Pelodiscus sinensis: one gene and its partner. Each later gene encodes a partner of the first gene's protein in a complex. Links are inferred from orthologs where the notes say so. Each region holds a gene or a part of one and is shown in the gene's direction. Other genes may lie near its edges. The genes, in order: NFS1 and ISCU.

What was found.
Region 2: the proteins of NFS1 (region 1) and ISCU are in contact, whole or in part, in a crystal structure (PDB 6W1D), measured with the Homo sapiens proteins. The link is inferred for Pelodiscus sinensis from reciprocal best matches to the Homo sapiens genes NFS1 and ISCU. Residues at the interface, in NP_066923.3 of Homo sapiens: Tyr360, Val361, Glu362, Glu364, Ser365, Leu367, Met368, Ala369, Lys371, Glu399, Asp400, His403, Ser404, His429, Arg432, Leu433, Glu435, Met436, Ser437, Pro438, Leu439, Glu441, Met442, Trp454, Thr455; in NP_998760.1 of Homo sapiens: Tyr35, Val40, His42, Tyr43, Glu44, Val49, Gly50, Ser51, Leu63, Val64, Gly65, Ala66, Pro67, Ala68, Cys69, Gly70, Val72, Lys74, Phe90, Lys91, Thr92, Phe93, Gly94, Cys95, Gly96, Ile99, Lys135.

The regions. Positions count from the first base shown.
Region 1 is NC_134728.1:32,075,198-32,090,795, reverse strand, and holds the start of NFS1 (cysteine desulfurase), read left to right. Parts: upstream 1-8,973; 5' UTR 8,974-9,020; coding exon 9,021-9,111; intron 9,112-9,980; coding exon 9,981-10,048; intron 10,049-14,142; coding exon 14,143-14,259; intron 14,260-14,937; coding exon 14,938-15,021; intron 15,022-15,598. Other genes in the region: ROMO1 (reactive oxygen species modulator 1), read right to left, coding at 8,149-8,257, 8,696-8,826.
Region 2 is NC_134725.1:36,564,362-36,579,721, forward strand, and holds ISCU (iron-sulfur cluster assembly enzyme ISCU), read left to right. Parts: upstream 1-8,151; 5' UTR 8,152-8,210; coding exon 8,211-8,309; intron 8,310-9,380; coding exon 9,381-9,494; intron 9,495-10,232; coding exon 10,233-10,343; intron 10,344-11,085; coding exon 11,086-11,164; intron 11,165-12,126; coding exon 12,127-12,221; 3' UTR 12,222-12,696; downstream 12,697-15,360. Other genes in the region: SART3 (spliceosome associated factor 3, U4/U6 recycling protein), read right to left, coding at 1,404-1,508, 3,256-3,382, 5,727-5,900.

The DNA.
Region 1 (15,598 bases):
AGCCACTGTGCATATGCCTCCCCCACAGTCAGCTGGTAATTCACCCTCAGAGGTGCACATTTATACACAGGTACAAACAAGCTACACATCACTGACATGAGGTTGCCACCCTCTGTTACCTGGTTATTGAACTTTACCTCGCATAAGAGGGGACTTAGTTACTATTGTTCATATTGTCAACTTAGACCTGGTCCTGAACCTACCTTGGTATGTACTTTATTTTGGGGGAGTAGTTGATACCAAGATGCTTGGTTCCTGTGTCTGGTACTTTTTGGTGTTCTTTATGCTTGACCTCACTTATACTACAGGCAACCCCCAACTTATGACTCCCTGCACTTACAACCATTTTTTCATGCAAGATAGCTCCTAAAACCCCCCAATTTACATCTGCAGCTTACATTTACGACGGTGTACGACACAGGCTCCACGCGTCGTTCCAAAACAGGAAACGCACAAGGTCAGACTCACCAGTCTGCAGCTGCTGCTTGAACTGGGCGCATGTGTCACACCGGCCTTCACTTTTTAGTGTGTTTTGTGCATTATTTGAAGTATTTAGTTTTCCTCAATTTCCATAGTCAATGTTGGTATTTTTTTGGGTGTGAAATGGGTTTCCAGAAACAGGAACCACCATTTATAACATTGCACCTATGGGAAATAAGGATTCAACTTAGGATGGTTCTCCATGAACAAATTAGGTTGTCAGGGTGGGGGGTGGCCTGTGTTTCTTTTAAGCCAACCCTCTTTCCTACCTGCAGTTTCATTGAGCCAAAGTCTTGCTCACTAGATTTCAGACCTTTTAGTCAAGCCTTACGATTTTATCAACCCTCAGCTAATTACACCCTGTTTGCAAGAAGCTGGACTGGGGTGACAGGAGGGATCAGTTAACTATTGTATGTTCTGTTGATTTCACTCATTTAGTGGGAAGAGGGGATAGGTCTAAAAGATAACTTAAAAATTACTTAGAAAAGTGAGATGTTTGTAAGTCACCAGAGCCTGATGAAATGCATCCTAGAATACTCAAGGAGCTGACAGAGGAGGTATCTAAGCTTTTAGCTATCATCTTTGAAAAATCACAAAAGTCAGGAAAGATTCCAGAAAACTGGAAGAGGGCAAACCTAGTGCCACTCTATAAAAAGGGAAATAAGATAACAGACCAGTCCGTTTAACTTCTGTGCCAGGAAAGATAATGAAGTAATTAAGGAATTCATCTGCCAACACCTGGAAGATAAGCTGACGAGTAACAGCCAGCATGGATCTGTAAAGAACAAATCACGTCAAACCAATCTGATTGATAGCTTTCTTTAATAGGATAACAGGCCTTGTGGATGTGGTATACCTAGACTTTAGTAAGGCATTTGATAGTCTCACATGGTATTCTCAATAAACCAGGCAAATACAACCTACATGGGGCTACTATAAGGTGGATACATAACTGACTGGATAACAGATCTCAGAGGACTTATGCCCTTCCAGCAGGATTGTGAACCATTAATAAGTGGGATTCCGCAGGGATCTGTTTTGGGACTGGTTCTGTTCACTATCTTATTCAACAATTTAGATACTGGCATAGAGAGGACAGTTACTAAGTTTGCAGATGATACCAAACTGGGAGGGGCTGCAAGTGCTTTGGAGGATGGGTCGTAATTCAAAAAGATCTGGAGAAATGGTCTGAGGTAAATAGGATCAAGTTTAATAAGGACAGATGCAAAGTGCTCCACTTAGGAAGGAACAATCAGTCTCTCACATACAGAATGGGAAATGACTGTCTAGGAAGGAGTACTGCAGAAAAGGATCTAGGGGTCATAGTGGACCACAAGCTAAATATGAGTCGTCAGCATGATAGTATTGCAAAAAAAAGCAAACATGATTCTGGGATGCATTAACGAACATTGTGAGCAAGACACAAGAAGTCATTCTTCGGTTCTATTCTGTGCTGATCAGGTTTCAGTTCGAGTATTGTGTCCAGTTCTGGGCACCACATTTCAACAAAGATGTGGAGAAAATGGAGAGGGACCAGAGATGAGCATCAAGAATGATAAAAGATCTATAAGACGTGACCTATGAAGGAAGACTGAAATAATTTGGTTTAGTGTGGCAAGAAGACGACCACGGGGGGACATGATAGCGGTCTTCAGGTATCTAAAAGGGTGTCACAAGGAGGGAGAAAAATTGTTCTTCTTGGCCTCTGATAGGACAAGAAGAAATGGGCTTAAATTGTAGCAAGGGAGGTTTAGGTTGGACATTAGGAAAAACTTCCTAACGCTCAGGCTGTGTCTACACTGGGCCACTTATTCCGGAAAATCAGCCGCTTTTCCGGAAACGCTACGCTGCTCCCGCTCGGGCAAAAGTCCTTTTTCCGGAAAAGCTTTTCCAGAAAAGGGCCAGTGTAGACAGCTTTTCCGGAAAAGCAGAAGAAACAGAAAAAAGCGGTTTGGACGGCAGGAGACCCCGTAGAAGCCGCGGACTTCCGCGTAACCCGAGGGCTTAAAGAGCCCGCACGCTGGCAGGAGCCCCCCGGAGACCACCCTTCCCAGCTCTGCCACGTGGCAACTGTGCTGCCCAGCCACTTCAGTGCAGGCATGGCAGCTCCAGGTGGTCGTCAGCCACCGTCACCCGGGGCAGGGGAGGAAGCCCCCAGGGGCCGGAAACGCAGGGCCCCATCCTGGACCCCCAGGGAGCTGGAGACCCTCCTGGACTTGTGGGAGGAGGAGGAGGGTCTCCATGACCTGCAGTCCCACCGCCGGAACGCCGACTTGTACACCCGGCTGGCACGAAACCTGGCCCAGCAAGGCCACCCCAGCCGCAACTGCGAGCAGGTGCGCTCCAAGGTGAAGGAGCTGTGGCTGGGGTACGTGCGGGCCATGGAGGGGAGCGGAGCAGGACCCGATGCCTGCCCCTATTTTGAGAGGCTGCACTCTTTTCTGGGTGAGCCAGCCCCGCAAGCCCCAGCTGTCCCTGTAGACACCTGCCAGCACCCCCCCCATCAACCGTCCCACCGAGCTGGAGGAGGGAGACAACAGTGGCGGCGCTTTGGGAGAGGAGGCCAGCGTTGCCACCCAGCAGGCCTCCTCCAGCAGCTCCTCTGTGGCCGGGGAGGAACCCACTGGTGAGTCTTTGAAGGTTACACTCCCAAAGGGCGGAGGGCGGGGGGGAGGGAGAGCCAGGTCCCCGGAGGGGGGAGAAGGGGAGCATGTCACTCAGGCCACGTGAGCTGCACGCTGCGTAGCATGAGGCAGCAGCACGTGCAACCATGTGCAGCCTGGTGACCGAGCGGCAGGTGGCCGTGGCAGGCAGCTGCAGGGCACGCCTGGGACCGTGCTCCTCGCACACATTCGGCGGGACCAGGGGGAAGGGTGGATGCCGGCTGGAACCGGCCAGGGCCCCAGGGACTCAGCCCAGAGCCCGCAGCTCCACCAAGGGGTGCAGCACAGGGAATGGCACACTGTCCCATGCCTGGCTGTGAGGCACAGCCAGCTGCTCCTGGGATAAGCGCAGTGTCACAGTCCTGTGACCGTGGACCCCCACCGAGCCCCTCACCTGCTCCCAGTGCTTTGACAGGTTCCCCGAGGGAAGTCCCCACTGTGGCCACACCTGTCCCTGGGCTACCAGGCTTGCGGGAGGGATAGTGGGAGGGAGAAGGGCCCCTGAGTTTTGCTGCAAGGATGGGACATCCCCCCACCCAGTCACCCTTCTGGTTCTGTCCAGGAGATATCCCACGCGAGGGGATCTGAGAGCCCAGACCGCCACTGACAGGTGTGCTCCCAGGCACTGCCGTGGGGATGCATCTCGCTCCCTGTCAAACACCACTCATTAGCCCTAAGCTTTTCACAGTGTCCACCGGCAGGGAGTTCCACAGGTGAACACAGCACAAGCACCCTCCCGCCCTGCACAGGGCCAGGATACAGACTGGTGCTTACAATACTGGAGGGAGGACCCTACTCCAGGGGCGGTCCTCCTTGACAACATACAACACGGGAGCGGGAGGGGAACCGAGTGGGCCCAAGCCACAACTGTGCAGTCACCTGGGCTCCGGGGTGGAGGGCATGGAGGTGTGGGGACAGTGGACAGCCTGCCTGACTGACCCGTCCTTTCTTCTCTTCCCTGCAGCGGGACCCAGCACCAGACCCACGACTCCAGCAGCAGCGGCACCCCCAGCTGCCCAAGCCCGGAAGCCCAGGCTCTGACACCGGGACCAGCTGCTTCGGCGTCACGTCACCACGGTGGAGGGGATCCAGACCTCCATTGCGGAGCGTGTGCAGGGGAACCAGGAGTGGCGGCAGGAGGGATGGGCTGCGTTCCTGGAAGAATGCCGCGAGATGCGCGCCACAATGGGCACCCTGACAAAGTCGTCTACAAAGTCCAGATGGGCCGGTCTATGGTAGGGTGCTGATGCCACGCGGTTGCCAGGACCTCCCTGGTGAGGGAGTCCAAGGTGATCTCTGCCTCCTGGTATATGAACGCCAGGGCATATGTACAGGTCCAACAGGGGTCTGAGCAGGTACATGGCCACCCATGGCTCCATGGCAGATAGAGCAGGGCAGAAAAAAGAAGACGCTGGGAAAAGCAGTTGGGGGCCCAAGGGTGGTGTCCCCAAAACTCACAGGGCAACCACCGACCCTGTGAAGGGTGCCAGTCCCTGGCAGAGGTCCCAAGGCACGGGAGCACGAGACCAACAGCTACCTGGCGAGACCCCTTTAACCACGCATCTGGACGGAGCTCCAGCCCCGCCCCCGTAAAGGTCTGGTGGCCTTTGCCCTTTTCAAAATGGTTCCGGGCTTTTGCTTTTCCGGAAAAGCGCGCCGCCAATGTAGACGCGCTTTTCTGGAAAAGCGCATCGTTATCACGGAAACTCCGCGGCCAATGTAGACGCTCCGTTTCTGGAGAAGCTGAAAACGGAATAGTATTCCGTTTTAAGCATTTCTGGAAATTCATGCCAGTGTAGCCGTAGCTTAAGGGTGGTTAAACCCTGGAATAAATTGCCTAGGGAGGTTGTGGAATCCCCATCTCTGGAGATATTTAAAAGTAGGTTAGATAAATGTCTATCAGGGATGGTCTAGATCAGTGGTCTCCAACCATTTTACACCCAAGATCACTTTTTAAGTCTCAGAACAGGCAAAGATCTACTGCCCTGCCCCTTCTTTGAAGCCCCGCCTACATTACATGAGGAAATCTAATGTAAATGTACTGCGCAGGTGCGCAGTTCACAGAGGGCTCAAGAGCTACTCTTAGAGCCCCTGAGATCTACCGGTAGATCGTGATCTACTGGTTGGTGAGCACGGGTCCAGATGGTACTGGGTCCTGCCCTAAGGGCAGGGGACTGGACTGGACTGGACCTCTTGAGGTCTCTTCCAATTCTAGTGTTCTATGAAACAGTTCAAGTATGTCAATTAGTCACTGTCAAAAGTCAGGAAGATTTTGATACCATGTTCTCAGGGATCCTGGGGAGAACCTGTCACAAACCATCAGCTGGAGACAACTCTAGGACTGGTTGGAGAAAGATCTCAGCCTGTGCCCCAAAGGACCTGAGACATGGGAGGTAATACTGAGAATGGAGGGGGCAAAGGAATTACAGCAGTGGTCTCCAACCTTTTTACACCCAAGATCACTTTTTAAGTCTCAGAACAGGCGAAGATCTACTGCCCTGCCCCTTCCTTGAAGCCCCGCCTACATTACATGAGGAAATCTAATGTAAATGTACTGCGCAGGTGCGCAGTTCACAGAGGGCTCAAGAGCTACTCTTAGAGCCCCTGAGATCTATTGGTTGGTGACCACGGAATTACAGAATGAAGGAGCCAGACTACAGTCCTGGTCCCCGAAGCCAATGCCACAGTTCAATTCCATATCAACTTAAGGTCAGTTTGAACACAAAGGTTGGCACTTCAGTAATGCCCGTAGCAGGTGTGACATAGTGGGGGTACCTGGCTGGTTTCTATGCTGCTGGCTCTGGGATAACCCCCACTGGCTGCCGTGGGTACCACGACCCAGCAAAACAGGATGAGTCACTATGCAAACCAGTATGGCCAGACACCCCCCATGGAGAGGAACAAAGGAAGGTGGAATGCTGCCCTGGCTGGGGGCAGGGCTGGAAGAGTGTGGGTTAGTTGCTGTCTGAGAGCATGGAGGAGACAGCCTATGGAAAGGGGCTGGAGTTTAAGGGCCCAGTCTCCCCCATCTCAAGGGGGCCTGAGGCATCCTAGCCCAGCTCTGTGACCAGATTACATCTGTGCTGTGCTGTATCCCTGGAGAGGTAATAAACTTCCTCTATTCCACCGGCTGGTGCAGTCTGTTTGTGCCATTTCTGGGTGCAGGAGACAGGGGACCCCAACGTGCCGTCACAGCAGGTTTCAAACAAAAGGAGGTATCTCTTCACACAGCACAGTCAACTTGTAGACCTCCTTGCTGGAGGATGTTGTGAAGACCAGGACTTGTAACAGGGTTCAGCAGCGTATTGAGAAATGTATGGAGGTCAGGTCCATCAATACATAAGAGTCAGGCAGGGTAAGAATCGTGTCCCTGCCCCCTCAGAAATTGGGCATGGGTGACAGAGAACCATCACATGATCCCTTCTCCTGTTCTGTTTACTCACTCTGGGACATTTGGCTTTAGCCACTGCCAGAAGTCAGTATCCTGAGCTAGATGGAGCTTTGGGCTGACCAAATAGGGCTGTTCTTATGCTACAAGTGGATGAGTGATAGGGTGGCAGTCTTAATAAAGATTAGTGGCAGATCCAGTCTTTGTCCTCAATCTCCTTGGGCCATTTCCACTTTAAAGTGGAGCCTGCCAAGTTAGTCACCTAATAGTGTTCACTTTCGTGCCAGAGGTTAGCTCACTTTGCCAAACCTAACTAGGCCATGCTAGAAGTGATTTATGTAAGAGATCAAAGGTGAGCTGTGCTATTGCAATGAAGCTTTAATGTTGTCAGTACAGCTGAGCTGAATGTCTGTCCTTGCCGACTAGATGTCTCCAGTCCTTTCTCTACACAGCTGCAGATACAGGCAAGGGGGGGGGGGACTGTCCCGCAACTTTGCAGGCACAGTGTTCCCCATCCTATATTTGAGCCTAAAGCTGTTTGCCAGGGAGAAGGTGGCTCACACATCAAAGTGGCTCATGGAAATGCCAGGTAAACTGCTGGGCAGCCCTGTTTCCTAGTCACAGCCCATGTACCTACTTTGCTGTGGCTGTTCTCTCCAACGGTCTCTCACCTCTTGGTGCAAGGCTGGTAGCTGGCACGCTTGTCCCAGAGCTAGGTGCAGCATGGTGCTGGGAAGTAGCATGCAAACATGCTTTTCCCCAAGAGACTGGCAGCTGCTTGAACAAGAAAGCTTTCTGGGCTTGTGAGGCCAGGGATAGGACAGCCCCCAACTGTGCCATGAGCATACCTGCACAGAGCATGCTTTGTCTGAAGAAGGGAAGCTTACAAAGGTGAAAATGGCCATGGAGCAGGGGAAAACTTGACCATGAAGAAGGGACGCTAGAGACTGGTAGGGAGCCAGCTGGGGAAACCCAGTCCCAGACAGTGACTGGCTTTCACTTTCCCATCCCCTTGTTTAAGGAAGATACCCTGCAGCTCTGAGAGAGGCTTTGGCCACCCGCTGTCAGGGCTGAGTCCTTGGCACTGCTCCTCAAGATCATGCAAATAAGTCCTATCTCCAGCAGGGAATAGTGGACATTTCCAGGAGTGGGGATTCCAGCAGAGACCCAGAGGCAAGAGACGGAAGGAACTGAGGGCTGGTCAAGCCCAGGCTGAAAGCCGACACCTATGAGATCACTTGGAACAGACAGCATTATTTAACTGGGGAGCTAATCTGTTCCTGTAGCTATGGGAAGAGTGGAAGGTGTAGGAGGGTGGCTCTTTAATCAGTTTTGCTTTCTACCTTTAAAATGTCAGATTTCAGGTTCTCCTCACCACCTAGGGAAGGACAGTAAGTTCGGTCACTACTAGGCCTGCTGCTTCGTACCAGAGGCTGTGTGGTGTGCAGTAGAAAACCCTGTAGTTAGAATCTGAGAGCACGATTGAAGCCTTATACCAATCTCACTGAGACGGAGAATTTAACTTTCTAGATACCCAAAGGTTTTATTATATTACAGAGGTGGAATGACTGAATTGGGGCATTTGTCTTCGGGTTAAAAACAATCCCATGCTCCAGATTAGCAGCGGATTCCCATGCCAATGGCCATGAATGTCCCAAACGTGCCACCACTTTGCATCATGGTTTTGCCAACTCCGCCCATCAGTTCTCGTCCTCTCATGCCAACCCTGAAAAAGAGGAAACGGTGCAAGGTTCTGCTACTGCAGCAACAATCTATGACAGATGAGACTGGATTTGGCTTCATTCACTTCTAGACTGTATACACCAGCACGTGGGTTGCACGAGCCGCCCTCCAGCCCAGTGGGCCACGACTGTAGCCAAGCCGGTCTCCCAGGATCCGGCAGCGCTGCACACTGAGCTCGTACCGGAGTTTGCGGGAGGTGCGGGCAGGGCCAGGGCAGCAGGCTGGGCGCAGAGGGAGCCGGGCTCTGGGCTCGGCGCGCCCCTCCCCCCGCAGGCAGGAGGCGGCAGTTCGCAGCCCGCCGCTACTCTGGCGAATGGAATGTTTTGTGGCGCCGCGCGGCCCCCGCGCTCCTGGGGCTGTGGAGCGGGGGGGTCCAGCTTGTCCGCCGCCCCCCCGCGCGTGCCCGGGCCCCGCCCCCTACCTGAGGCAGGAGAAGGCGCCGAAGAGCGCGCCCGCCGCCACGCCCACGGCGAAGCCCATCGCGAAGCCCATCTTGACCCGCTCGAAGCAGCTGGGCTGCGCCTGCCCGTAGGGCCCCACGCTCACCGGCATCTGCAAGAGAAGGCGCTGAGGCCCCGCCCACAGCCGGGGGGGGGGCCCCTGGGAACCCGCCGACCCCCCCGGCCCGCGGCCTCACCTCGCTCGCGCCTCCGGCCGCCGCGCCAGCCCCGCCGCCACTTCCGGCGCGCCGCGATGACGCGCGGGGGTGAAAGGTCAGGGGAAGCTTCCGGCCTGGCCGCGCGGAGATGTCGCTGTCGCTGCTGCTGCGGGGGGCGGGGGCGCGCGCGCTCGGCGGCCCGGGGGCCCGGCGGGTGTCGAGGGCGGCGCCGCGCCGGGGTGAGCGCGCCGGGCCGGGCTGGGCGGGGCCCTGGGGCCGATGGGAGCCCCCCCGCCCCTCCGCGAACCCCCCGCCCCAAACTCGGCTCCCCCCTCAGCCCGCCCCCCAAACTCTGCCCCCCAGCTCGCCCCCCTGCCCCCAATCTCTGCCCTCCTCTCAGCCCGACCCCCGCCCCAAACTCTGCCCCCCCAGCCCCCCCCCATGCCTCCCGTGCCCAAACCCTGATCCCTGCACCCCAAGCTCTGCCTCCTGCCCATGCCTCAGCCTCTGCCCCTTCTCAGGCTTCCAGCCTAGAGCCCCCCCCACACTAAGCCCCTGCCCAGCCCAGTGAGGGTGGGTGAGCGAGCCACCAAGTGAAGGGGGCTGCAGGGCGTGGGGCAGGGCCAGGGGAACGTTGGCACCCTGGCCTGTGGGCAGATTTCTCTGGGCCTCGCTTGCCTCCTGTAAAATGGGTCATGCCTCACCTGAGTGTAGTGAATGTCCTGAAGATTGTTGGTGATGGTGGCCATAGAAATACCTCCGGCTGATGAGTGTGGTGAAGCTTCAGGACTCCTGATGTTTCCTTTCATGTACACTGTTGACCTGGGCTGGCTGTGGCCACTTGCCAGAGAACACGGGTGTCTTCCTCCGCTTTCCTAGCAACACAGGCAGTGGTTAGTTCTCCTTCAGCGTGCCAAGTGCGCTGTGTGTTCTCAGTGGACACGTACTCTGCTGACTGTGGTTTCTCCGATGTTCTTTTCCTGAAGCCACTTTCAGCTTCTGTTGTTGCAGTGTTTTGCTTTTTTCCTCTCTCTCCCATTGTGTCCTTCTTTGTACTTTGTGCTTGCTGTGCAGCTATCACTGTCCTGTGTTTTTTTTCCCTTTGTAGAAAAGGGTCTTAGTGAAGAATCCACGCTCCGGCCATTGTATATGGATGTCCAGGCAACTACTTCTCTGGTTAGTAAAATGAAGTGATGCGAACATATGCTGGTGCCCTAGAATGAACCCTGTGGTTGTAACCTGATAGGCTACTTGCCTAATGGGCAAGGTGTGTCCTGGAAATCACAGATTCTGTGATTTCTAGAACTCTCTGTGACGTTGGTTTGTATCAGTCTTGGACTAAAGCTTTTGGTCGCAGCCCCGGGGAGTGGGTGCGCTCTCCTCCTGCAGCTCTCCAGCAGTGCTGGAAGAGGTTCCCTCCCCTGCTGCTCTCAGTGCAGATCTCTCCTGCCCCCACAGCACTTAAGCTCTCATCCCCCACCACTCAAGCTTCAGTCATCTCCTCACCGCCATTATTTTTAGTATTTTATTTACAGCCTTCTGTGAATGTTGTTACTTTTACTACAAGTAACCATGACACAATCTTAACAATGAGAAATGCAGACTTCAATAAGTGAGTCCAAATGCTCATGAGTATAAGAACATAAGAACGGCCGTAGTGGGTCAGACCAAAGGTCCTTCTAGCCCAGTATCCTGTCTGCCGACAGTGGCCAGCACCAAGTGCCCCAGAGAGGGTGGACCGAAGACAATGATCAAGCGATTTGTCTCTTGCCATCTCTCTCCAGCCTCTGACAAACAGAGGCCAAGGACACCATTTTATCCCTTGGCTAATAGCCTTTTATGGACCTAACCTCCATGAAATTATCTAGCTTCTCTTTAAACTCTATTATAGTCCTAGCCTTCACAGCCTCCTCTGGCAAGGAGTTCCACAGGTTGACTACGCGCTGTGTGAAGAAGAACTTCCTTTTATTAGTTTTAAACCTGCTACCCATTAATTTCATTTGGTGTCCTATAGTTCTTCTATTTAGGGAACTAATCAATAACTTTTCTTTATCGGCCCTCTCCACACCACTCATGATTTTATAGACCTCTATCATATTCCCCCCTCAGTCTCCTCTTTTCTAAACTGAAAAGTCCCAGTCGCTTTAACCTCTCCTCATATGGGACCCGTTCCAAACCCCTAATCATTTTAGTTGCCCTTTTCTGAACCCTTTCCAAGGCCAAAATATCTTTTTTGAGGTGAGGAGACCACATTTGTACACAGTATTCAAGATGTGGGCGTACCATAGTTGTATACAGGGGCAGTAAGATATTCTGTGTCTTATTTTCTGTCCCTTTCCTAATAATTCCTAGCATCCTATTTGCCTTTTTTACCGCCGCTGCACAGTGCGTGGAAGTTTTCAGAGAACTGTCCGCGATAACTCCAAGATCTCTTTCCTGATTTGTCGTAGCCAAATTAGCCCCCATCATACTGTACGTATAGTTGGGGTAATTTTCCCGATGTGCATTACTTTACACTTATCCACATTAAATTTAATTTGCCATTTTGTTGCCCAATCACTCAGTTTGGTGAGATCTTTTTGGAGTCCCTCACAGTCTGCTTCTGTCTTGACTATCCTAAACAGTTTTGTATCATCTGCAAACTTTACTACCTCACGGCTTACCCCTTTCTCCAGATCATTTATGAATAAGTTGAAAAGGATTGGTCCCAGGACTGGCCCTAAGGGGACACCACTAGTTACCCCTCTCCATTCTGAAAATTTACCATTTCTTCCTAACCTTTGTTTCCTGTCTTTTAACCAGTTCTCAATCCAAGAAAGGACCTTCCCTCTTATCCCATGGCCATGCAATTTACACAAGAGCCTTTGGTGAGGGACCTTGTCAAAGGCTTTCTGAAAATCCAAGTATACTATATCTACTGGATCCCCCTTATCTGCATGTTTGTTAACCCCTTCAGAGAACTCTAACAGATTAGTAAAACAGGATTTCCCTTTACAGAAACCATGTTGACTTTTGTCCAACAAATTATGTTCTTCTACATGCTTCACAATTTTATTCTTTAGTATTGTTTCGACTAATTTGCCCGGTACTGAAGTTAGACTTACCGGTCTGTAATTGCCAGGATCGCCTCTAGAACCCTTTTTAAATATTGGTGTCACGTTGGCTACCTTCCAGTCATTAGGTATGGAAGCCGATTTAAAGGATAGGTTACAAACCACAGATAATAGCTCAGCAATTTCCCATTTGAGTTCTTTTAGAACCCTTTGATGAATGCCATCTGGTCCCGGAGTTTGTTAACGTTAAGTTTTTCTATTTGTTCCAAAACCTCCTCTAATGACACTTCAATCCGGGACAGTTCCTCAGGTTCATCACCCACAAAGGACGGTGCAGTTTCGGGAATCTCCCCAACGTCCTCAGCCGTGAAGACTGAAGCAAAGAAATCATTTAGTTTCTCCGCAATGGCTTTATCGTCCTTGATTGCTCCTTTTATAGTTCGAACATCTAGGGGACCCACAGGTTTTTTAGCAGGCTTCCTGCTTCTAATGTACTTAAAAAACATTTTGTTATTTCTTTTTGAGTTTTTGGCTAGCTGTTCCTCAAAATCTTTTTTTGCTTTTCTTATTACATTTTTACACTTGATTTCCCAGTATCTGTGGGGGAAAAGCTGTTTTTTCAGTACTCTCTGAGGGAGAATGAACCCTTTGTAACAAAGTCCAATATCTAGTCTTCCTCATTCATTCTTGATGTGTCATTCCTTCCCACAATCACTCCATCTGTTAGTTTTCTTCTCTTCCCGCATCAGACTCAAGCTTCTTGTTCTCATAATGAACATAATCTCACCCCCAACTACATCTTGGCTTTCCCCATCATTCGCTCTTTCTCACTACACATGAAAGCTACGTCTACATTGTACTGTCTTGTGCAAGAACATATACAAATGAGCCGCCGTTTTTGCGCAAAAACCATTCTGCCTGAAAATAAGTGGCAGAAAGGCTCTTGCGCGAGAGAGGGTTTTTGCGCAACAAGGAGTATAGATTGCTCCTTCTTGTGCAAAACCCCGTGTGCAAAATGGCAGCTCATTAACTATGCAAGAGGCGCGGCGATATCGCCACACCTCATTTGCGTATGTTCTTGCACAAGAGAGCGCAATGTAAACGTAGCTGGAGGGACTGAGAAGAGACGGTCTTATTTGTGCTTAAAAAAGAGTCCAGTAGTTTACCCAGTTTAAGGCACTCACCATCTTTTTTGTGGTCACTGTGATAAGCATTACTATTCAGTGCTGCATCAAACCAGCTTTAGGGTAGTATGCAACTAAAATTCTATCGTTGTACCTCAGTAACAGTTGAGAAGTGGGTCTTTGTCTGAAAGTCCAGTCTTCTTCCTTCAGCATAAATGTATTATGGCCAGAATGTCTTTCATCAACATTTAGATATTGTGAGGGTTAATAATTAGAAACCTCTTAATATTCCTGGGGAAAAGGTAAAATAAATGCACCTTATGGTGGTGGCTATCATCAAGTACTGTCTAATCATGTCATTTGAATTAAATAAATCTGCAGCGATGAAGAGCCATCTTAGATAAAACATAAAATGTTTCAGAATTGTTTGCTGCTCACTGGATAGGTTAATACAGAGCATATGCAAAATGTTTGTGCATTCACAGTAGTTTGGAATACGCTGGCAGCTGGCCTGGGATAAAGTGACACATATGTCAAGGGCAGGGAACCTTTTTTTGGTTGAGAGCCACTGATCCAAAGAAAAATCATTCAGGGGTCATAGACGAGTAAGAAGAATCAATAACAAAGAAAACAAACCCCTCAGGGGCCTGGCCCTGGAGAAACAACGAACAAACAAAACCAAACCCCTCACTGACCTCAGGGTGGAAAGACTCCTAGACACACTCAGGATGTCAGGACTCCCTTACGCGCCATCTCTGTGGGCCCAGATCTGGCCCCTGGCTTCCCTTGATCCTGCCCTAGGCAAGGCTTTGGGCTTCCCTTCCCACTGCCGTGGGCGAGCCAGTGCTAGTGCTCTAGTCCCAAAGGTGGTGCTGAGGCAGGGAGACTTGCAGCAGGGCTGGAGTGCTATCACTGGCTTGCCCTGCTGGTAGGGGTGTGGGCCCTGAGTCAGCTTCACTGCGGGCCAGACCAAGTAAAGCCAGGGACCAGATCTGGCCTGCAGGCTGTAGGTTCCCCTCCTCTGGCTTATCTATTGCAGGGGAAAGGAGGAGGAACAACAAACTGCTTTTAACAATTGCTTCTTGTCTTCTAGGACCCCAGAGTTCTGGACAGCATGCTCCCTTATCTAATGCACTACTATGGCAACCCCCATTCCAGGACTCATGCCTATGGCTGGGAGAGTGAGTCTGCTATGGAACGAGCCAGGCAGGTGAGGCTTCTCAGAGCCTGTCTAAGTTTACGTGCGCCAATCCCCATCTTTCTGGTGTAGCTCCTAGTAGGTGAGACTTGGTAACTTGATCTCTAGCAGCATAAGTGTTTCCCATGTGAGGTCTAGTTTGGCAAACTCAAAATGAAACATGTTTTATACTAAAGCAATTTAAGTGGTAGAATTAAATGACTTGGGGGTGAAGTGAGGCTTTCCAAAGCTGCTCGGGGGTTTGAAAGCAAATGGCACTTGTCATAAATCCCTATGGCGCCTTTGAAAACCTCCCTCTCAGGCATGTATCTGCCATTTCAGTAACTACTGTTTTCACATTCTAGGTCAATGGATTTTTGCCTTGCTGTGAAAGTTTAGGGCTGTATTTTGGTTGCCTCTGGGACATACTGAATATTGAATACACTGAATGTTTCTTGCATTTTCCCCTTCTTTTCAGGAGGATTTATGTTCACAAGTAATAGTCTTGAATGCAGATAGCCTATGCAAACCCCCCGCCACACTAGACGAGGAAGTATACAAGTGCAATGTCATTTCTTAAGATAGAATCTATCTACCCTGTCCAGGCTGGGCTAGTATTGGAGTGGTGGAGATGCTGTGCGTATTCTGTTTGTGATGAACCCCTTCTCATTCTTAAAGTAGGATATCATATTTTTCTTTCTCTTTAAACAGCAAGTTGCGTCGTTGATAGGAGCAGATCCTAGAGAGATTATTTTTACCAGTGGAGCTACAGAATCAAATAATTTAGCAATTAAGGTAAATAATTGCTGGTTTATAAAACAAATGATATATACGAAATTACTTTGAATCTATAATGATTTGGTGTTAAAGACCTGTTGTTAACCTGCCAGTGATCCATTTGTGGTTCTGAACTGTTAATAAATTGACAGTGATTTTAGTCAAGATCGTTGTTTGTTGACCAGCTTGTGAAATGAAGGCATGGACTGCTGTGCCCCAGCATTACTGCAGGGAGTGGTGAGCAGGAATGGGCTGGTCATGACCCATGCTTTGGCAGAGGAGCCATACTTAGCCTGTTCTGTAAAATGAAGAAATCTTTGAACTGTAGTGAAATCCCCACAGTTAACCTTGATGTCCCAGAAATTCCTTTGGGCCTGAAATTGTCCATCCTCGTTTTAGAGCACAGGGGAGTCGCCCCTCCACCCCCTTCAACCTTAACTGTTTTTGATATGCATGTGGGGATTAAAACTCCTTTTGTCCCAGATGTGCCAGATGAAGTTTTATGTTCCATATAACTCAAATCTTGGTCATAAAGAGTGGCAGAAATCTTGATTATCAAGCTTTTCCCAAAGTGTTCGATCCTTTAAAGCATAGG
Region 2 (15,360 bases), on another chromosome or scaffold:
ATGGTCTGTTGGCAATGGGGATAAGAAAAGCTGAGTGAGCAGTTCCATCACTTTTATTCTATATCAATTCCCTGGGTGGTCAGAGAATAATTCCTTTTGTACATGATTTTTAGAAGTTCAAGAGTGGCTTTGAAGAATTAACAAATAGCTACTACTGACTAGGGATGTAAGCGACCAGTCAACTATGCCATAAGCATGCGCTTATCAAGTATCTGAGTAGTGACTCTACCAGTCGCTTTCCTCCCAACCACCTTGCTTCCTCTACCAGAGGAACAAGGAGTGGGGGGGGGGGGGGGTCAGTGCTGCGGGAAGCTAGCTTTAAAGCCGGTTCCCTGGAACCATCAGGGACAAAAAGGACAGAGAGGCAGAGGTGTAGCGGTGGACCAGGTATGAGCCAGGAATCAGCTGTCCCAGCTCACACCCGGTCCCAGACACTGCACCTCTGCTTTTCAAAATGTATTAAGAGCTGCTAAGCTCTTAATATGTTTAAAAGGTAGAGCCACAGCAGGGTTAGCTCCTGGGGCCGGGAACTAACCCCATTGTAGCTCTGCAGTTTACCCCCTTATTGACTGCCTGAGTAGTTGATGGAAATTCCATTGACTAACTGATTACCTGATTGCATACAAATTTAACATCCCTACTACTGACACATCAATAATATCTGCCAATTCATTTCACAGCTAGCTCCACCACTATAATACATGAAGCAAACCTGACTGTTCAGCCTAATAATTAGGTACTTAGCAGCAGCCATTGCTTGATGAATAGGTGTGAACAAGTACCAGATATTTGTCTCTCTTTTAATGAAAGTCCCAGCGGCCCAGTGCTGTGAAATGTGGGTTAGCTTGAGTATTTAAGTAGGTAGGTTAATAAAGGATTATGTCTTTTTTGTAATTAATAGCAACTCACTCTTAAAAAGCTTTTACAGACTGTGGACATAATAGAAACACATGAAAGAGAGCAGGAACTAAAAAATAAGGTCTACAGAAAAATGCAAGGTACTGAAAATAAGCCTTTTAAAAACACTTTCTAAAAACAAGAACAGAAGAATTAATTATAGGATACAGGATTCAATATCTGTAAGGACAGACTCCTCATCAGGTAACAGCAAGATACAAAGCCAGGAAATGTAGTGTTAATCAGCTGCTCTCCACTGAAATCAATGAAATGATACAATAGAGCTGAATCCTTCAACAACTTCTCTCCAATTTGCATAAATTTCAAATCTCCATCTAAGTATCATCAACAGATTGTGAGTTATTACTTTTAAAACAGCTATTCTTTACCGCACAGATCCAAAACAAATTTGGGGGAGTATTTTTCACAGTATTAACCATAAGAAAGCAGTGAAGAAGAATGCAAAACTACAAATGTTTATTTTGCAGGGGATCTTTGCAACTTACAGATATAGTCTTTCACAGCTCTCTCAAACAGCTCATAAACCTTCTCACGATCAGTGTTTTCAGAAGCCATCCTTATCTCATCCTTCAACCAATCTAGCCAAATTTCTGAAAAAGAACAGGAACTTCAGAGGTACATTACCAAGAATATTCAAAAGAATCCAAAAGATAAGAAATTAGTTTAACTTGGCATCACTACATAGCATAGTTTGAAAATGTGGTTATTTTTTGTAACACTTTTTTGAACTTTTACAGTTAGCTATAACAAATTTTACTAAAGCTTTGGCCAGTTTTTACAATCCTACCACCAAATATTTAAGTAAATATCTATCTATTTGTAAAGGTAGAGCATTACCATGATGCTTATATGATAAATGTCAGTTCAATTCCCAGGGAACAATGGCCCATAGCACAAGTGATTACTAGCACAATTTGTACCCTTCTAGATACACAGCAGATGCCAATCACTGAACAGCCACAAAGGCGGTTCTCTCACCCTCTTTCTGGGAAGAGGCCCTTCCATGTCAGGTCAAGGCACGTCTGCCAGGCTGTACAGGGAAGTTTGCCCAGATGCTGTCTGTCCCGTCAATAAAAAAAAAATTAGGCTAATAGGCTATTTGTAACTTTCAACAGCATCCTTTTACAACATACAGTAAACCTCCGATAATCCGGCACCTTTAGGACCCACGGGGTGCCGGATTATCAAATATGCCGGACTATCAGAAGGGGGGGGCTATGAGGGGTCTGGGGTGGGGTGGGGAGATGCTACCCCAGACCCTCTCATAGCCCTCCCTTCTGTTAGTCCGGCTCTGCCCCAGGAGCCCCTGATTCAGCCGCTGCTGGTCAGTTTCAGCAGCGGCTGAATCGGGGACGCCTGCAGCAGAGCAGCTGGAGTGCTGCCGGGTTGGTCCGGTAGCGCCGACCCTTGGCGCCGCGAGACCAACCCGTCAGTACCCCAACTGCTCTTGGGGACGCCTGGGGCAGAGCAGCTGGGGTGCTGACGGGTTGGTCCCACAGCGCCGCTCCTCGGCACTACTGGACCAACCCGGCAGCACCCCAGCTTCTCTGCCCCAGGTGTCCCCAAGTCAGCCGCTGCAGAAACTGATCAGCGGCTGACACCAGAAAGCCAGAGGCAGAGCTGCTCTGCCCCGGGCTTCCTGGAGTCAGCCCTGGTCAGTTTCAGCAGTGGCTGAATCAGGACGCCTGGGACAGAGCAGCTGGGGCGCTGCTGGGTTGGTCTGGTAGCGCCAAACCTCGGCGCTGTGGGGACCAACCCAGCAGCACCCCAGCTGCTCTGTCCTAGGTGTACCCAAGTCAGCTGCTGCTGAAACTGACCAGTGGCTGATTCCAGGAAGCTGGGACGGAGCAGCTCTGTCTCGGGCTTCCTGGAGTCAGCCGCTGGGTTGGTCCCGCAGCCCCGAGGGGCAGTGCTACTGGACCTACCCGGCAGCACTCCAGCTGTTCTGCCCCCTGCTTCCCGGATTCAGCGCTGATCAGTTTTAGCAGCGGCTGAATTGGGGAAGCTGGGGGCAGAGCAGCTCCAATGGTCCGGCTACCCAGAGCATTTCCGGGTTCCTGATGGTGCCGGACCATCAGGAGTGCCAGACCGTCAGATGCCGGACCATCAGAGTTTTACTGTATTATGAAATATTAACCTTTTGGCAGGAATTTGTATGCTCAACACTGGACTTCATCATCAGAAGCATCCACTAACTACAATCCCCAAAAATGTCTGATTTGTACTTCCATGTTAAAATTCAACACCACTATTTTACAAAATGTTCAATTTAGCTGCTAAAAACAGTGGGAGGAGCTTACAGAAGGATAACCAGTGTGAACTAAAGTAATCCTGTACCTTCAGTCAGGGGAAAGAGTTCACTCATCTTCTGGCGGGCTCTTCTAAGCTTTACCAGCTCTCCTTCCTGGCGAAGCAGTTTTATTAGGTCCAAGTGACAGTTATAGTCAAATGCATTGATGGAAAGCTTTAAAAAGGAGATGAAGAAATGTAAGAGAGTATATCCAGCAATTGGTTACTAGGGTAGAACTTCAGAGTTCTATTTTGGACTGTGCCATCAATTCCTTCAGTGTCTCAGGTAATGGCTACACTATAGAGCTTACAGCAGTGCAACTGTAAGCTCTCTAGTGGAGCTGCTCTCAGTGGACTGGAGAGAGCTCTCCAATTAATCCACCCCAACAAGTGGCAGCTGGAGAAGATCTCTTAACAACATAGAGCAGTTCACAATGGTTCTTATGTTGGCGTAATTTACATTGCTCAGGGAGTGGTTTGTTCACACCCCGAGCAACATAAAATACACCAGTCAAAGTGCTAGTGTAGACCTACCCCCAGACTGCTCAATGTGAAGTGAAAATAATACACGCCTTTCACCAGTCTGCATAAAGGTTGTGCAATGTTTCATTGTTTTCAAAGCCCACTGAGGGTACAAAATGAAAGATTCTATTTTGGCAGGTGACTGAACTGAGCCCTTGGAGCTAGAAGCCACTGTTTAATAATGTGGATCCTCAGGTGATAAGCATAATAAGCAGGTGCCTAAATCTCACTAAGCAGTTGTGCACATTTGTCTAATCATCATTTTAGTGGTAAAACTGATGGTTTGTATCCAAATTGCAGTAGATCCCACTTTTCAATAACACTGTACAAAAACGGAGAATTTGCTCCAGTAAACTAATATAAATATCCAAAAAATGTTAGCTTCCCATCTAATAACTGGAAATAGCAAACATAAGCAGTTCTCAAGATAAAATAGTAGTTTCTGAGATGTGAAAAGATCGAAGTTCTTTTCTAATTAAGGTTCTGCCTCCCTATTCTCAATGTACGTCAAGCTCAGAAAAACATTTGTTACTGCATGGTCCACCTTGCAGTTCATTTCAACAACAGACACGCATGCTTTCCAATTATATTAGTCCTCAAGAAGTTCTATTCCTGGTTGCAACCATCAATTATTTCAGTAATCAGTGCATAGAGAAAACCCTCTGAAGTTAGCACTATTCCAGTTTGCCATAGCAATTAAAACACCAAAGAATTACACAACAGAACTATTTCATAAAGATATAACATTTTCATAATTACCATGCTGAAATTAAAAGCGAAGAGCACATTTCTGTAGAAATTCTGAAAGTGTCTCCAACTGAAAGGGTTGTGTACCAAGACAGCTAAAAAAGGTACATATTTCAATTCTCGAACAGAAACCACACATAGTTTATGAATAGTATAATGTACATACATTACACATGATTATGAAACTTTGAATTTGTTAGCAATATTAGGGTTTAACTGATTAACTGTTTAACCAATCAGCTGATGCTTATCAGTTAATGGTACAGATTACACTCAACCAATTCCAGGGGGAGGTGGTTTCACTGCAGTAGGGAAGAGAAGTTTCCTTCCCAGGGAGGACAAGCAGCTCTCTTCCTCCTCCCAAGCGAGGTAGGCAGCTTCACTGAAGGCTCTACAGTACTGCTGAACCAGTAGCACATGTAGCCACTAAGATTTTTAGCAGTTTCACAGTTACCCTATTACACGATTTTTAACATCCCTTGTTCCACTGTGTGTTCAAAGAATTTGAGACTATAAACAAACAGAAAGGATTTCTTGATATTTTACAACAGACAGCAGAATTATACAATCCTGGATTAACACTACAGAATGAATGGGTGTGAATTCCCCACACCTAAAAGTTCACCCATCTATACTATCACATGTTCCTTATTCTCTTTAATCCACTAGTTCCAAAAATCTCTCCCTTTCTTCACATGTTAATTGTGCTCCAACATTTAATGGGGGGGCCACGATACAGACTCCATCACCTATTGATTCCTTTGCTCTATCAATATTAATGATGTGTACGGCCCTAGCCCCCACAAAATGCAACTCTGCTTCCTGTGCACACACAGACAATCCCTGGCCTATAGCTCCTAACAGATGAAGGCAAGCAGCGATAAGCAAGGGCAGAGAAGGATTCTGTTCTTCTGTGCACCCTACAGAAAGCGTGGGGGCTCCTGCTGAGCAGTGACTAGCCCCCAGTCTGGATGCTCACACCCCCCAAGGATGAGGGCCCGATGCTCTGGCCTGGGCGCTACTCGCAGAGCCCCCAGGGCGGCGCTTCCCTCCTGCACACCCCGAGCCGCAGCCGCGGAGCCGCCTCCCCCTCCCCGCGCGCTGCGGGGACCGAACCGAGGGTGACCCCGCCGGCCGAGGCAGGGCTGAGGGCGGCTCCACGCGCGAGGCAACGGGCTTCGCGGGCGCACCCGGCTCGCGCCCCGCCCCCTCCCCCCGCGTGCCCACGAGCACCGGGCCGCGATCCCCACCTGCTCCTCCAGCCGCTGGATCTCGGCTTCGTTCTCCTTCTCCTCGTCCTCGCCATCCGCCGACGAGCCCGAGTCGCTCTCGTCCCCGCCCTGCTCCTCCGGCCGCCGCTCTTCCTCCGCCGCCGCCGCTACTGCCGCCGTCTCTTCGGGCCCGGCTGCCGCCGCCTCCGCCATCTTGTGCAGCTACGCGCTGCGCACTGCCTGCCGACCTCGGCCAAGCCGCGGGGCTGCCGCTGGCGCGCCTGACTCGCCCGTCCCCGCGCAGATGCTGAACGCACCCCCGACAAGAAGATTGAAGGCCCGGGTGGAGCTCGCTGTACTCAGCTCTGCAGCAACGGCTGTTTCCGATTAGGGAGTCACGGCCTTCTCGTGATGGATTCTTACAGGCACCTGCGTGGGCTGCTGAGGTCCTCCTGGGCATGTCGGGGCCCTGAAGGAGGTCCCCCTGGCCAGGGCTTGTCGGTAGGGGAAGGACCCAGGCTTGGCCGCCATATTGTGTGTGGCAACTCTTCTGTACGCAGGCTCAAAGGCTTGCTTGGGCTTTGAGCACCTCTGTCCATAGCAAAATGGCTCGGGTCTTGTTGCTGCGTCCCCGCTCATCCTCCCACAACCATAGCAGGATGAGAGCCATTGTAATAACTGGACATTCAGTACACGATGTACGTGTATCATGGATGGTGCAGGGGCTAGTGCATAAGAAATTAAATATTCTCGTCTTTATAAAGTTCCCGTAGCTGCATCACTAGAGAATGGGATATGGCATGGGAATTAAATATGGTGAAATGTATTTGCAAAGTCCACCCCTCCATCCCTCTTACCTCTTTCTGGTGACCTTGCACAAGAAATTAAAACAGATATTTGCAAAACTCCCTCTGACCTGTCCAACCTCAGTGTTCAGGATGCTGTCTAAATATTTGATAAAACTGTAAAGCATCCTAAGGCAGCAAGGTCTGGAAATATGCAAATGGGAATATGAATAAAAAAACTTGCACCTCTTCTCTCCCCCCCCCCCCCCCCCCATTAGAACTCATTCCCTCAGAAGCCAAATGAGAAACCAAGTACTGATCACAACAGAGCAAGACTATTATTAGCTCTCTGGTCTGGAATCCTGACTAGCTAATTGTCAAACTACAACACTGTATAGGACAAATTCAGGCTTTGGATAAACTGCCTGGCTACGTCTAGACTGGCATGATTTTCCGGAAATGTTTTTAACAGAAAAGTTTTCCGTTAAAAGCATTTTCGGCACAGAGCGTCTAGATTGGCACGGACACTTTTCCGCAAAAGCACTTTTTGCGGAAAAGCGTCCGTGGCCAATCTAGACACACTTTTCTGCAAAAAAGCCCCAATCATCATTTTCGCGATCAGGGCTTTTTTGCGCAAAACAAATCTCAGCTGTCTACACTGGCCCTTTTGTGCAAAAGTTTTGCACAAAAGGGACTTTTGCCCGAATGGGAGCAGCATAGTATTTCCGCAAAAAACGCTGATTTCTTACAGTAGGAAATCAGTGCTTTTGCGGAAATTCAAGCGGCCAGTGTAGACAGCAGGCAAGTTTTTCCAGAAAAGCAACTGATTTTCCAGAAAAACTGGCCAGTCTAGACACAGCCCGAGAGTGGATCATCTGTCAGCCAGCTGTTAGGTGAGTCCTGTAAATGGTTCTGAACATGGTGCAAAACACAGTTGGCTTTAGAGATGTAAGTGACTAGCCTAAGCAACTAGTCAACTATTAGGTGGAAGGGAGCAGGAGCCTGTGCTGGGAAGAACCAATTAGGTTCCCACCACCATGTCTCCACTGTGGGATGGAAACAGAAGCATACCAGTTCCCACTCCTGGCACTTCTGCTTTTGAAATGTACAAGAGTCCTTTTTTGAACCCTGATCTTCACAATTTGCTCTAGCAAGGAGTTCCACTGATTGCAATAAGCCTGGAAGGCATAAACACATATCTCAGTGGGCTGGGTCTTCCCCGCTTGGATGGCTTGTTGCTCCCCTAGGCAAGTGGGTGTGTGCACAATGTGCACCGGGCCCAGGCACAGAACAGCTGTTGGTTAAGCCTGGGTTGGTTTCTGCCGGGCAATACTCGGGTTCATCCAGACCCGGCTATTGGCTCGCTCAGGCCTGGGCAGCTCTCCCGGGGCAGCGATGCCGAGCAGGCGTGGAGGGTCCATTTCCCAAGCGCAGAGCAAAAGGATGCAAAGCGCCGTAAACATGTCCTGGGGGCGCGCCCTGCTGCACGCGGCGCTGCGCGGCCCCCGCCGGCACCAGCAGACACGTGACCGGCCGGGTTGGATACCACAGGGGGGAGGGGCCGGACACGCGCCTTCTAGCTGCTGCTCTTTGAGCCCCGCAAGTCACTGCCCTTTGCCCCTCGCGAGGGGGCGGGGCCAGGACACGTGCGGGTCACGTGGGGGGCGTGACGCGACGCGCTCCTAACAGTGCGCGGGGACAGGGCGGGACATCTCGCGCTGCCCGCTGCCGAGAGAAGATGGCGGCGCTGAGGCTGACGGGGGGCTGGGCTGCCGCTGCGCTGCTGAGACCCGGGCCCGGGGGGTTGGCAGGCCCCGCCGCGGGGTATCACAAGAAGGTCAGTGAGGGGGCCGGGAGCAGCACTGGGGGCGGGGGGGGCCTTGTAGGCGAGATGTGAGTCCTTAGGGGCGGGGCGTGAGGGGGCAAGAGGCTGACAGCAGCGATGGGGGCGGGGGGGAGTAGAGAGGGGGGAGGGGAGTAGAGAGGGATGGGGGCGGGGGGGAGTAGAGAGGGGGGAGGGGAGTAGAGAGGGGTGGGGGCAGCATTGGGGGCGGGGGAGTAGAGAGGGGGGAGGGGTGGGGGCAGCATTGGGGGCGGGGGAGTAGAGAGGGGGGAGGGGTGGGGGCAGCATTGGGGGCGGGGGAGTAGAGGGGGGAGGGGTGGGGGCAGCATTGGGGGCGGGGGAGTAGAGGGGGGGAGGGGTGGGGGCAGCATTGGGGCAGGGGGGAGTAGAGAGGGGGAGGGGTGGGGGCAGCATTGGGGGCGGGGGGGAGTAGAGAGGGGGAGGGGTGGGGGCAGCATTGGGGGCGGGGGGGAGTAGAGAGGGGGGAGGGGTGGGGGCAGCATTGGGGGCGGGGGGGAGTAGAGAGGGGGGAGGGGTGGGGGCAGCATTGGGGGCGGGGGGGAGTAGAGAGGGGGGAGGGGTGGGGGCAGCATTGGGGGCGGGGGGAGTAGACAGGGGGGAGGGGTGGGGCAGCATTGGGGGCGGGGGGGAGTAGAGAGGGGGAGGGGTGGGGGCAGCATTGGGGGCGGGGGGGAGTAGAGAGGGGGGAGGGGTGGGGGCAGCATTGGGGCAGGAGGTTGTTGGTTGTGAGATCAGCATGGAGGGGAGGTAGAGCAGAGAGGGATTGGGAGGAAAGAACTTGGCAGGGGTGAAGAAGAGGATGGGATCCTGGGAGTTGTGTGGGAAACTTGGGACTGGGAAAGGAGAAGGAGGTCTGGCTATTGTGGGACTAGGGGGCTTATGGACTCCCATGCCCTTGAAGCTGGGGCAGCGTTGGGGAGGTTCTCAGCCGTGCCATGCACTGGGCTTTCTTGCAGTATGTTTTAAACTGCACAGACGTTGTGAGCGCTTTCCTAGACAGGGACTGTAGATACCATAATCCTTGCCAATAAAATTCCCTTTTAGGTAGTGGATCACTACGAAAATCCTAGAAACGTGGGCTCCCTTGATAAGAGTGCAAAGAACGTTGGCACTGGATTAGTGGGTGCCCCTGCCTGTGGAGATGTGATGAAATTACAGGTGAGTTATCAAATAACAAACATGATTATTTCTGTGTTCACTGAGAGATCTCTAGTATATTGAATATTATGAACTGACCACGCTGGTTATGTTGACAATCATATAAGCTGTTTGCCAGAAAAAAAGAGAGGACATGCAAGTAACTTTACAAAATGAAAAGTTACAGAATATGAACATATTAGTCTTAAATGAGAACTGCCTTCACATGAAACTTCTGGTGGATAATTCTGATTTAATGGTATTACAGGTGGTAAAATAAAAAATATAAAAGAGCCTCTATTTCATTTATATATCTGATTGTTTCCCATACATTGTCATGTTATCCACTGTTAAAATGTTCTGGTGAAAATCAACAAGAATATCAGGAGGATTTAGAGGCAGGTGTCAGCTCTGAAGACTACATTTAACTCACCTTTTGAAACAAAAGTAGACCTTAAGTGGATGATGTCCATTAAAGTCTACTTGTAACTGCTGTCTTAAACCACTAGTAAAATGACTTTCCGTTTCTAGAACTAAAATGTAAATGTTTTACAGTATTCCTTGCCTTACTCTTAGGTCCTATTCTGCTACCATGGATACCAATGTGAAGGATACTTTGCCTTGATTTCTGTGAATAGGTTGAAATCAAATCATTATCAAGCTGAGTCCTCTTCAGTTATAGTACCACAAGAATGTTATGTAACCAAATATATAACACAAATATTATATACCAAATCAATGTCATTGGAATTCTTGCAGGTTGAAGTAGATAAAAATGGAAAAATTGTTGATGCAAGATTCAAAACATTTGGCTGTGGATCAGCAATTGCCTCAAGCTCATTGGCCACAGAATGGATTAAAGGAAAAACGGTAAAACTGACTTCACATCTGTGAAAGAGCATATTACACAAAAACTAGCAGCATAAATCGCTATTAATGCTACACCATTCATTATTAGAGGCTATATGTGGAACCATGAGAAGCATAGTATGAAGTTTCCGTTTTACCTAGTGTGAATTTTTTCTACAATGAAGCAGGTTAAAAATATTTCATCCCTGTCAATGAAATGTGATCTAGTTTACTAATCTTAATTTCCATTTCTAGAAAAGCAGACCTTACTTTGATAGCTTAATTTTCAAAGTGGCTTTGGCCTACATAGCCAGAAATAATTTATGCATATTTTCCTGACAGAGGATATTGTGAAGACCAAGTCTTTAACAGGGTTCAAAAAAGAACTAGTTAAATTCATGGAGGATATATCCCTCAATATTTATTAGCCAGGATAGGTAGGAAGGGTGTCCCTAGCCTTTGTTTGTCAGAAGCTGTTCATATGAAAATTTTTTGCTTACGTCTGGTATCTTGGGATGGAAGGAGAATGGGAAAGATGTTGATAGGGTGGTCAGAGCAATTTGTTTATACACAACCCTTTTAAAATGCTTTTGCACTATCAGTAAGCATACCAAAATAATTCTTTGTATGTTTCTCTCACAACCCCATCCTGAAGGTTAGTCCTCAAAACACGTCTTTCACAAATCTGTGGCTCAAGATGACCACCTCAGGTGATTGATGACTAGCAGCCATAATCCTGTATTAATAGGTTTATAAATTTCAGGTTGACGAAGCCTTGAAGATCAGAAATACTGATATTGCTAGAGAACTCTGTCTTCCTCCAGTTAAACTCCACTGTTCTAGTAAGTTTGAGTTAAATGCAGCTTGTTTAAACACCGAACTGTCTTAATTTTTAGAACCTATATTGTCTAACCTAACCCAGAAACAACATAGTATAACTTACTGTAGTTTGACTCTACAATTCTTACTGAGGATTCTAGGTATTTGCAAAAGACATCAGTCAACAGGATGTCATTAGTGTTACCCACCTTTTGAGTCTGCCATAAATTCTCATGAATTAAATGCATAGCCCTAGTGATCTCTTTTAAGGTGACCTTCAAAAGAAACAAACAGGGTTTGGCTATTTTGGAACATATGATGAAGGCCTGAAAGACTTTGTTATATTTTTGTTAGAAGCCAGATCTTTCATCTAAGAGTCACCACTGACTCGAGAATTAGTGGTGTGACATCAAAGAGTCAAAAAAGGAAAGCTGAGCATTTAATCAGAAGGAAAGTCTTGTCTGACCAGTTTACCTTTCTCCAGAACATTAGTCAAGATTCAGTATCCCTTCTCCCTCAATGTAAATGTGAATTCAGACATAAATGACAATGAGAGCTGAAGTTCCTGGTGCTGGTAAGGTGAAGTAGCAACCCCCACTTAAAGAAAAATCCTCACTAATAAATGCCAAAAAATGACATAGGCCCCATTTTTAAATCTTTGTGGGCTCCCTTAAAAGGAATGTAACATATATTAAGGGTGTTGAATAAGATAGATTTCAATTAATTCCTGAGAGAAAATTAAGAGCATTCCCTCAACTAAGGAACAGGGCAGGCTTTGCTGTTGAAACACTCCTTGTGTGTATTAGTCGTAACCTGCAAAAAACACTAGCCTTCTCTTTTTCTATCAGTGTCTCTGCTGCATAGTACTATAGATACTCAATACAAACACAAATGCCTGTTTTTGCTGTTGTTGTTTAAGGTGGATCATTTTTACTCCCTATTTACAAACAGGGTTCTAAACACTTTTTTTTTTTTTACTTTTCAGTGCTTGCTGAAGATGCAATCAAGGCTGCTCTGGCAGATTACAAGTTGAAACAAGATCCTAAGAAAGAGTTGGAGAAGAAAGCAGCCAATACTTAAAACTAATGTTTGAGACTGTAGAGCTTGCTCTCATTCCACTTAAATCTACAGTGCAATTACTTTAGATGTTAGACATGAGAACCAGTGCAGTACTAAAAAAAGCTGTATAATACGCACATAAGATACGCACAATGTTTCACTGTTTCATGTGTATTAAACCACTGATGTGGTGCTCAAATTACTGGAATGTTTGAGCTTATTTCAGCACAGACTACTGGTCTATTCTGACTTCATATTATGTGTACGGATATGGGTGGCAGTTAGTTCTGGAGTGACAGTTGAGTTTTCAGCAAAGAAAATCCTGGTGTTTCAAATGTTAGAAGGTCTGAAATCCATAGACTAGCTGTACAGTTTTGTATAGTAAAAGGTAATATTGGAAAGTGTTCTGCCTTAGTCTGAATGTCTTATCCATGAAATTGCAGATCAGTTTTATTGCATATGCTGTACATAATTTATTAAACAATCTATGGCAATTCCTATTGGGTATAATTGTGTTAAGAACATAAGAATGGCCATACTGGGTCAGACCAAAGATCCATCCAGCCTGGTATCCTGTCTGCCGACAGTGGCCAATACCAGGTGCCCCAGAGTGAGTGAATCGAACAGGTAATGATCAAGCGATATTTCCCCTGCCATCCATTTCCACCCTCTGGCAAACAGAAGCTAGGGACACCATTCCTTACCTATCCTGGCTAATAGCCATTAATGGACTTAAATTCATGGAGGTTATCTAGTTCTCTTTTAAATCATGTTATAGTCCTAGCCTTCACAACCTCTTCAGGCAAGGAGTTCCACAGGTTGACTGTGCGCTGTCTGAAGAACTTCCTTTTATTTGTTTTAAACCTGCTGCCCATTAGAGGCCACCAAATGAAACTAGTTCTTATACTATGGGAACAAGTAAACAACATTTCCTTATTTACTCTCTCCATACCACTCATGATTTTATATACCTCTATCACATCCCCCCCTTAGTCTCCTATTTTCCAACCTGAAAAGTCCTAGTCTCTTTAATCTCTCCTCATATTGGACCCATTCGAAACCCCTAATCATTTTAATTGCCCTCCTCTGAACTTTTTCTAATGCCAGTATATCTTTTTTGAGATGAGACCACACCTCTATTCAGTATTCAAGGTGTGGGTGTACTGTGGATTTATATAAGGGCAATAAGATATTTTGTCTTATTCCCTGTCCCTTTTTTAATGATTCCTAACATTCTGTTTTGCTTTTTCAACTGCCACTGCATGCTGCATGGATGTCTTCAGAGAACTATCCACGATGACTCCCAAGATCTCTTTCCCAATTAGTTGTAGCTAAATTAACCCCCATCATATTGTTTGTATAGTTGGGGTTATTTTTTCCAATGTACATTACTTTACTTTTATCCACATTCAATTTCATTTGTCATTTTGTTGCCCAATCAGTTAGTTTGAACTTTTGGAAGTTCTTCAGTCTGCTTTGGTCTTAACTACCTTGAGCAGTTTAGTATTGTCTGCAAATTTTGCCACCTCACTTTGTCCAGATCATTTATGAAAAAGTTGAATAGGATTGGTCCTAGGATTGACCCTTGGGGAACACCTGTAGCTACCCCCCTCTCCATTCTGAAAATTTACCCTTTATTCCTACCCTTTGTTTCCTGTCTTTTAACCAGTTCTCAGTCCATGAAAGGATCTTCCTTCTTATCCCATGACAACTTAACTTACGTAAGAGCCTTTGGTGAGGGACCTTGTCAAAGACTTTCTGGAAATCTAAGTTCACTGTATCTGCTGGATTCCCCTTGTCCACATGTTTGTTGACCCCTTCAAAGAACTCTAGGATATAAGTAAGACATGATTTCCCTTTACAGAAACCATGTTGATTTTTGCCCAACAAATTATGTTCTACATGTCTTGAAAATTTTATTCTTTACTATTGTCTCAACTAATTTGCCTGGTACTGATGTTAGACTTACCGGTCTGTAATTGCTGGGATCACCTCTAGAGCCCTTTTTAAATATTAGTGCTACATTAGCTATCTACCAGTCATTGGGTTCAGAAGCTGTTTTAAAGGATAAAGGTTACAAACCATAGTTAATAGTTCCGCAATTTCACTTTTGAGGTCTTTCAGAACTCTTGGGTGAATGCCATCTGGTCCTGGTGACTTGTTAGTCAAGTTTATCAATTAATTCCAAAACCTCCTTTAATGACACTTCAATCTGTGATAATTCCTCAGATTTGCCACCTACAAAGGATGGGTCAGATTTGGGAATCTTCCTAACATCCTCAGACATGAAGACTCAAGCAAATAATTCATTTAGTTTCTCCGCAATGACTTTATCATCTTTTTAAGTGTTCCTTTTGTATCTCGATCGTCCAGGGTCCCCACTTCCTGCTTCTGATGTACTTAAACATTTTATTACCTTTTTGAGTTTTTGGCTAGCTGTTCTTCAAACTCCTTTTTGGCTTTTCTTATTACATTTTTACACTTAATTTGGCAGTGTTTATGCTCCTTTCTATTTTCCTCACTAGGATTGGACTTCCACTTTTAAAAAGGTGCCTTTTTATCTCTCACTGCTACAGGTTTTTAAGCCATGGTGGCTCTTTTTTAGTTTTTACTGTTTTTTAATTTGGGGGTATACATTTAAGTTGGGCCTCTATTATGGTGCCTTTGAAAAATGTCCATGCAGCTTGCAGGGATTTTACTTGAATCACAGTACCTTTTAATTTCTGTTTAACTAACCTCCTCGCTTTTGCATAGTTCCCCTTTCTGAAATTAAATGCCGCAGTGTTGGGCTGCTGAGGTGTTTTTCCCACCACAGGAATATTAAATGTTGTTATATTATGGTCACTATTTCCCAGCAGTCCTGTTATAGTTACCCCTTGGACCAGATCCTGTGCTCCACTCAGGACTAAATTGAGATTTGCCTCTCCCCTTGTGGGTTCCTGTACCAGCTGCTCTAAGAAGCAGTCATTTAAGGTATTGAGAAATTTTGTCTCTGCATTTCACCCTGAGGTGAAATGTACCCAGTTAATATGGGGATAGTTAAAATCCCCTACTATTATTTCTTTATTTTGATAGCCTCTCTAATCTCCCTTAACATTTCATAATCACTATTACTGTCCTGGTCAGGTGATTGATAATAAATCCCTGTGGTTATATTCTT